2 linked regions of the Bombyx mori genome follow. The protein of the gene in region 2 interacts with the protein of the main gene of each other region in a pairwise test. Links are inferred from orthologs where the notes say so. Each region holds a gene or a part of one and is shown on either strand. Other genes may lie near its edges.

Region 1 (3,500 bases), on a different chromosome or scaffold from region 2:
CCACTGAGTTTCTCGCCGGATCTCAATGGGTCGCGATTCCGATACGGTGGTAGATTCTGCGAAGCACTGCTCTTGCTAGGGTTAGTGTTAGCAAGTTCTCTCAGGTTGAGCCCGTAAGCTCAGTTACACGTCTGGGCATAGCTGGAATAGCATTTTGATTGTGGAAACATATTTGGTTATTGTTTTAGCTAAATTTTTTTTAAATATTGTATGTTTTGTATTGTACTGTTTGTTTCCCAAATAAATAAATAAATAAATAAATAGCCTCTTAAGCTACCAGCGAATAGGTAGGAAAAGAAAAAAGGAACACCAAATATTACTGATTTCTTCTACCTATGTTGGTAGTCTCGATGGGTCATACCAGCTTTGCCAAGTAGACAAGCTCACGGCGCTCAGCTTGCCTAAATATGTGACTGAGTTTTCGGTATGCCACTTACCAAATTCTTCCCAGAGTCTGCGGAACACAGCACTGGGTTTCCCTTTAACAAGGAGTAATCTTCCGCCGTACTTCTTGAATTGCTTGTCCAAATCATCTAACGCTTCTAGCAAGTACCGCATTCGGTTGTACCCGACCACTTTCGTTCCTATTGAATGTAAAATATAGTCAGTAATTTCTCAAATACTGGCTGTTAGAAGACCGCTTCCTAAAACGAAACGCCGCGCCCCCGCCGTGCCGCACCTGTGTGCGTGTAAAAGAAACGCCGCGCCCGGGCGTTCGTTGATCCGAGCATCAGCTGGTTTTAATTTTGTGTTTCATTGCTGGCTTTTCTTTGAGTAAAGTAATGTATATTTTATGAAACTATAGTTTCATTTAGCTATACTAAAATGATGGAGGGTAAATAATGCTATTAAAACATTTTTAAAAAATGTTTTTTTTTAATCAGGACCGATTTTTTTCCGTCCCATCCATCAAAGGTGTCATTAGGACTATCGTCTATCTTCGTTTTCGGAAGCGGTCTCATAACACCCAGTATATATTCCATTCATCCGGATATTAGAATGCATGTAAAACCGGGCGGGTAGTGGTGTTTCCATATAATTAAGCCCGATATGATATTTTATACGTTATCAATTAAGAGTACAAGACTAGTAAAATACAAAGCGCCGACTGGTGGTAGGACCTCGTGTAAGTCCACACAGGTAGGTACCACCACCCCGCCTATTTTCTGTCGTGAAAGGTACAATGCGTTTCGGTTTGAAGGGTGGGGCAGCCGTTGTAACTATACCTTAGAACCTTATATCTTAAGGTGGGTGGCGCATTTACGTTGTAGATGTCTATCGGCTCCAGTAACAATTTAACATCAGATGAGCTCGTCGACCCGTCTAAGCAATAAAAAAATAGAAACTCACCAGCAGTTTCCCCGTCAAAAATGAAAATGGGAAAGAAAGGGCCGCTCGTTTCTTCCAACGCCGAATGAAGAGACGGATTGTCGTGGAGACGCAGCCCGTGACGGAACCACAGAACGCTACCGCCAAGCATCTTTAGTATCCCCTTACAATTATTCGTTTAGAAATCTGCAAAGAAGATATCACCCATACAAATTTACAAATTCTCCGAGATTCTCCTCTCAGGTCTTATAATTAACAAGTGATTTATGCGTATTTGCCGCTAGTGATGTTAACAATGAAAATATATCGCTGAGTGATTATTGAGCACTTATCAATGTGTGATTGCGTGCTTATGCAAAAAACCCGGTCATCGTTTTCATCGAACCCGTCGCTTGCGTCGGAGGGCTCGGCGAATAAATTAACCCAGACACAGCCCACTGAGTTCCTCGCCGGATCTTCTCAGTGGTTCGCGTTTCCGATCCGGTGGTAGATTCTGCGAAGCACGACTCTTGCTAGGGTTCGTGTTAGCAACGTCATCAGGTTTGAGCCCCGTGAGCTCACCTAGTAATTCGGCGAATCTAGAATAATCCCTTGAGGTTACTAGAATAGATAGGAAAAAAAAATGCAAAATTTTTACATGAATTGAAATCATTCTAGTTCATTCTTAACGTGGACTGCTGTTTTTATGTATCAGCACAGTCATAATACAAATTCGATCAAAAACAAAATCAATTTCGTTAAGTATATACATCGAATATTTCGGAGGACAAATAATATTTTTTAAAACTTATCCGACTGCGAGTAACAAGACAGAAAATTTCCAATTGAAATTCGATCGTTTTATTAAGAAGCCGTTCGTATTGAGGTCGTTTCGTTTGTGACGTAGCTATAATTATGTACATACCAATAGCTTACACTTACAGGAATTATAATAACGGTGTTGTAAATCTATAATATCGATCTGTTTATTTACGCAATAACGAAGCAGTTACTGAGTACTGAGTAAATCGGCATGACTTTTTGGTACTTTTTGTCACGAAAAAAACAACACTTTTTTAAATCGATAAAGTTGGGCTGATTTCGATGGAATTTTCATCACATCTTGAGATTGGCTAGCAGGCCAGGAGATCCTGTTATTTTTTATAGCGATCGGATCGAAGTCAAATAAAAATCGGCAAATCTGACCGGGCTTGGCTAATACTCTATAGAGACGCTAAAAATCATCAAATCAAATCATAGAATTCGCCATGGTAATTTGCTTAACACTATAATGTACTTATTTTATCTTAAAGACGCCTAGATTTACGAGGACAAAGCCGCGCTTAATTAAAGATCGAGAAAATATGATAACCGGCCTATATAGTTTACTCGAAGAAGCCTTTTAAAACGAACGTGCAAATTGTGAAGAAACAAAACCAATAGTTGCGGTCTGTCATTAAACGTATCGAGCCACACGTGATTCTATAAAATTACCGCATTACATACCTTGTTGATGTTAGATAAGAAATGTTTTATAAACACTTGGCTCACTTACAAAACAATATTATAACTAACAGTCACGATCTTGTGAAAAATGTTATATTAAACATTTTCAATTAACTGATAAGTCGGATTACTAGGCTGCACTAAAAGTATCGGGAATGGAATATTTCCACTGTTCCTGTCATATTAAAATCTTTTTAATTGAAAACTCCTTGGTTTTAAAAATCGAATACCATTTATTTATTTAAAAAAAAGATTCTCGGTCTTGTCACGAGGTTTTGTCAAACTTGTTTAGTCGTTGAGAAAATGGAATTGACTCGAGAAAATTCAAGAGCGATGATTTATTATGACTTTCGAAGTGGTTTAACACAAAAACAGTGTGTTGACCGGATGATTTCTGCATTTGGTGATGAAGCCCCATCCAAAACCACAATTTATCGCTGGTTTGCTGAGTTTCAACGTGGACGTGTCAAGCTCAGTGATGATCCCCGTCAAGGTCGTCCAAAAACTGCAGTCACCCAAGAAAACGTTGATGCTGTGCGTAAGCTGATTGAGGAAGATCGACATGTGACATACCGCGAAATTCAGGCAACTTTAGACATTGGCATGAGTCAAATACAAATAATCTTACATGAACAATTAGGTGTAAAAAAAATGTTTTCCCGATGGATAACGCATTCGCTCTGTGA
Region 2 (4,229 bases):
GCACAAAAAGATTTCCAGCTATTGAATCTTTTTTGTTTTAATAATTTACGAGTTTTAGTTATAAGATTACTAAGAATATTAAAATTTTGTGTTGTAGAATTTTCTCTGTAATTTTCTTCAGCTATCTTTCTCTCAGCTATCGCAGCAGAACACTCACTGTCCCACCAAGGAGGTGATGGAATATACCCATTTCCACTATTGTTTTTTATAGGAAAAACTTCCTCAGCAGCTTGTAGTAGGGCCCGTGTAAAAGCTTCAGCACAAAGATGATTACTGCTGTCATTTAGTGGAGGTATGGTTGATAAATTTTGTTGAACTTTATCTCCAAATAATGACCAGTTGGCATCCTTAAGTCTATATTTTAGCCGGGGAGGGGCCTTTGATGTCTTTTCACAAATTTTTTGAGGAAATGATACCATTAGTGGAAAGTGATCGCTTCCATATGAAGACGATAGAGGCCACCAGTTTAATGTAGGAGCAAGTGAGGGACTACAAAGGGTAAGATCTGGTGCACTAATACCCTCATGGGGCTGTGTTCTTCTAGTAGGACAACCAGAGTTTAAAAGACATAAATTATTATCATCTAAGATGTCTAAGATTCTAGCCCCATAATGATCAGACTTAGAACTTCCCCACATAGAATGTTGTGCATTGAAATCTCCCATAACCAAAATAGGGCGCGGGAGGGAAGATAGGATGCTACGAATATCGTCAAAGACTTCATTGGAAGGGTGAGGTATATACATATTTACAAAACAGATATTATTTACACTAGCAGCAATAATAGAAAATTTATCACTGTGATTAGGGATGGGTAAGTGGACAAAGGGCACACCTCCCCTAAGAATTAGTGCCACTCCACCATACCCATCTGTTCTGTCTTCTCTAAGACAGACATGTCCTGGAATTCTAAAATTGAATCCAGGACGAAGCCAAGTCTCTTGAAGAGAGACTGCAAATGGTTTGTAACTATTCAATAAAAAAATTAAGTCACTTTTTTTACTATTAATACTCCGGCAATTCCATTGAATCACCAGAGACTGGTTTCGTGGATGGTCCTGACTGTCCATTAGTTAAAAAAGTTTTTGAAGAAACGGCATCGTTGGACGGTATTTTAATTATGTTCGATTGTGAAAGGTACTGAATTATAGAAATGATGAGATCCTTTGTTATTATTTCTGACAAATCATTGTAATTTTTGAGACAACCTGTAGAAAAGGAAGGAATGTTGCTGTAATCTTGGATAAGCTCTGCATGCGCTTTTTGATCATATCCCTTACTAGAATTTCTGGGACGAGCTTTGGGTTTCAAGAATACTGTTTTCTTATATGATTGAGTCGGACTCTTAAAAGGGCTTGTTAAATTATAGGGGCTTGAATAAGTCATAGTTGGACCCGAAGGGGCTGATGAAGCAGAAGCAACAATGTCAGCATAAGATTTTGAAACTGGTGGATAGACTTTACTTGCTTCTGAATAGGATATAGAGTTTCTAGCCATTGTTTCTTTTATAGCTTTCTGCCTAGCATACTCCGGGCATTTTTTGTCTGTTGCGAAATGGGAACCAGAACATAAAATACACACAGCATCATCTCTTTCCGTCTCGCAACTTATACCTGAATGATTGTCACCACATTTGTAACACCTTGGAGTGCCTCTGCATTGCATTTTGGTGTGACCAAAACGGCAGCAATTAAAGCATTGCAGCGTGGGGTAAATATAAAGCTCTACAGGTAGGGAGTTAAAACACATAAAGACCCTGGGAGGTAACACCTTCCCATCAAAGGTCAAAACTACGGTCTCAGTTGGAACAAACTTGGGTGTCTCGCCGTCATAAACCTTTCTGTTTAGTCTCCTAACTTTCAGAATGCTTCCACAGTTCTGCGGAAGCTCTATATTTTCTATAACATCTTTCTCGTCCCAGTCACATGGAACACCTCTCACTATTCCCATGCGGGTGATAGTGAAGGCCGGAATAAAAGCTTTATATTTATTATCATCAAGAGATTTGTGATTTAGAAATGAGTTAGCCTCCTGAAATGTTTTAAATTGAAATGACAACCTATTCCTTCCAATTTTTTTTATGCTTCCCTCTACAATGCTTTTTATTGAATTTTTTTTTAGAAAGAATCCAAATTGTACTGGATGTATAGATCCAGTTTGATTAGGTTGTAAAATTTTTTGAATATGTACATCATAAGGCGCAGGGTCTGACGCCTGGTAAAGCAGCCTAGCAGTGCGAGGGTTACTCGTAATGTTTTTAGAGTTAGCAACCTCATTATGATGGATTTCAGTGATTTTATCATCTGACTCAAGTACTTTAGGTATAACATTATCCTTTATATCATTAGGGGAAAGTTGGCAATCTGGTAGATCTGTATGTTTGTGATTCCTTCTCTTTTTTTGGTTTCTAGTTGATATTCTCTTTCTTTTAACGGATTTAATGTTTTCCGAACAGTCTGTATCTATAATGGAACCTTCCGTTTCCATTCCCGAAGCATCTATTGTAACTACATGAGACACCTGGAGGGATGTCCCTCCAGGGTCTTCGGGCTCCAACATGGAGGCCAAGAAAAAAATACTATTTACATATAATACAATAAGATGACTTACCAGGCGAAGAAAACAAACTAAAACTATAAATAATCAATACTACTAATATATATACACTTTACAACTTAACTGATCCTGTAATATTAAATTAATTTAATTTTCAAAAGTTTAGCCAAAAAAAAGACGCCCGCTTAATTCAACACTTCCCGCGCTTTTTCCGTCTTGAGGTTTAAACGCTCTAAACACGAATGTCACAATACAATTAGCGTACTAGAGTCGACTGTTGCAAGGTAAGTATCGATATACAAAGATTGTTGGAACTCGAGAATCGAAATAAATCGATTAATTCTGCAACAGCAATAAGTTTCCAAAACAATTTTATTATACCTATGTACATGTAAGGAAAATGTATTTTACACGGCGGTCCAATGATATCTTCAAAAGGATACTACATTTACAGAATACAGATACAGGATTCAGGATACAAAAGTTGAAGTAATCCGATTATCATACATTTCAACAAATTTTGTTGCTAAGTATTTCAATTTGAAAGTAGCATAGATGAACAAAACTTGTTCAGGCTAATAGAGTACACATTAGAAAGAATTCATTCGCTGACCTGGAGGCATGTGGTCAAAATCTCAATGAATTTCTACGACTACTATATTCTTCAAATCGCAACCTTTGCTTTTAATACCACCATACCACACGACCAGTAATTACTTCATATTTTGAAATCTGTTACGGATGATCAATATTATATGTTATAAGAAGAAAAAATAGCACTTTTCATCGTCGATAGCATAATCGTAGGACAACAATAGGGTTGTTTTGTCTATTAGTATTTTTTAAACATTAAATACATATGTAAAGAAAGATAGAAATCTCAGGTTAATCACAAAATGTTAAGAAAAACTTGTTAAACTTATTTTTGAATCATTAAGAGTATTCAACTGAAATATTCATACATGGATTTTAGTACTAACCTTTTTAGTTTTCTACAAACCGTACATTTGGCCTAATAAACTAATTACTAAAAAAAATATACAATTCTATACTTCAAATTAAAAACATTTGCAAAAATCGATTCGGAAACGATTGTTTGGAGCATGAATTGGTCGCAGATCTACTATTCACGCTCAAAAACACGTGAGCCGGGTAAGTAGGACGGGAATTCTCTTTCTACGATTTATTTGCTCGCACGCACGTGGCAGCTGAGAGAGAGGGTGCGATATAGTTAGACTCTGTCGCGTGGCTTAGAAAAACGTCTCATGTGAAATTTTATTTCCGTGAAACGAATGAACAAACGTTAAAAAGAAAAGAGTTGCTGAATTCCAGGCACATCATAGTTTTAGCTTTTTGGGCGTTTCAATAGTAGACATTAAATTGGTACATAACTATAATATTTTTATTTAAAATTATATTGATCCATATTTTTTTATTGATTTAATTTACGTTTATTCCGTTGACACCAACACCACGTTCTTATGATTCAATCAAAAATTCAGTATTAATGAAGACTGGAAGAACATTCGTGACTATTAATGAACGTCATACCAACTGGTCACGTGTTGGGACCGAGTTAGTTACATTACGTAAATTATAATTGTTTCGCTCTATCCGATGACTTGCAAGCGAAGTAAATTGTCCTTCGAAATAAGGCAATACTCTACAAAACT

What was found.
Region 1: the proteins of Per (region 2) and cry1 interact in a two-hybrid assay, tested with the Drosophila melanogaster proteins (5 studies listed by BioGRID). The link is inferred for Bombyx mori from reciprocal best matches to the Drosophila melanogaster genes per and cry.

Annotation. Positions count from the first base shown.
Region 1 is NC_085123.1:13,776,125-13,779,624, reverse strand, and holds part of cry1 (cryptochrome 1), read right to left. Parts: intron 1,516-3,500; 5' UTR 1,481-1,515; coding exon 1,351-1,480; intron 585-1,350; coding exon 438-584; intron 1-437. UniProt on the Drosophila melanogaster protein: Blue light-dependent regulator that is the input of the circadian feedback loop. Has no photolyase activity for cyclobutane pyrimidine dimers or 6-4 photoproducts.
Region 2 is NC_085107.1:12,565,271-12,569,499, forward strand, and holds the start of Per (period), read right to left. Parts: upstream 2,801-4,229; 5' UTR 2,611-2,800; intron 1-2,610. UniProt on the Drosophila melanogaster protein: Essential for biological clock functions. Determines the period length of circadian and ultradian rhythms; an increase in PER dosage leads to shortened circadian rhythms and a decrease leads to lengthened circadian rhythms.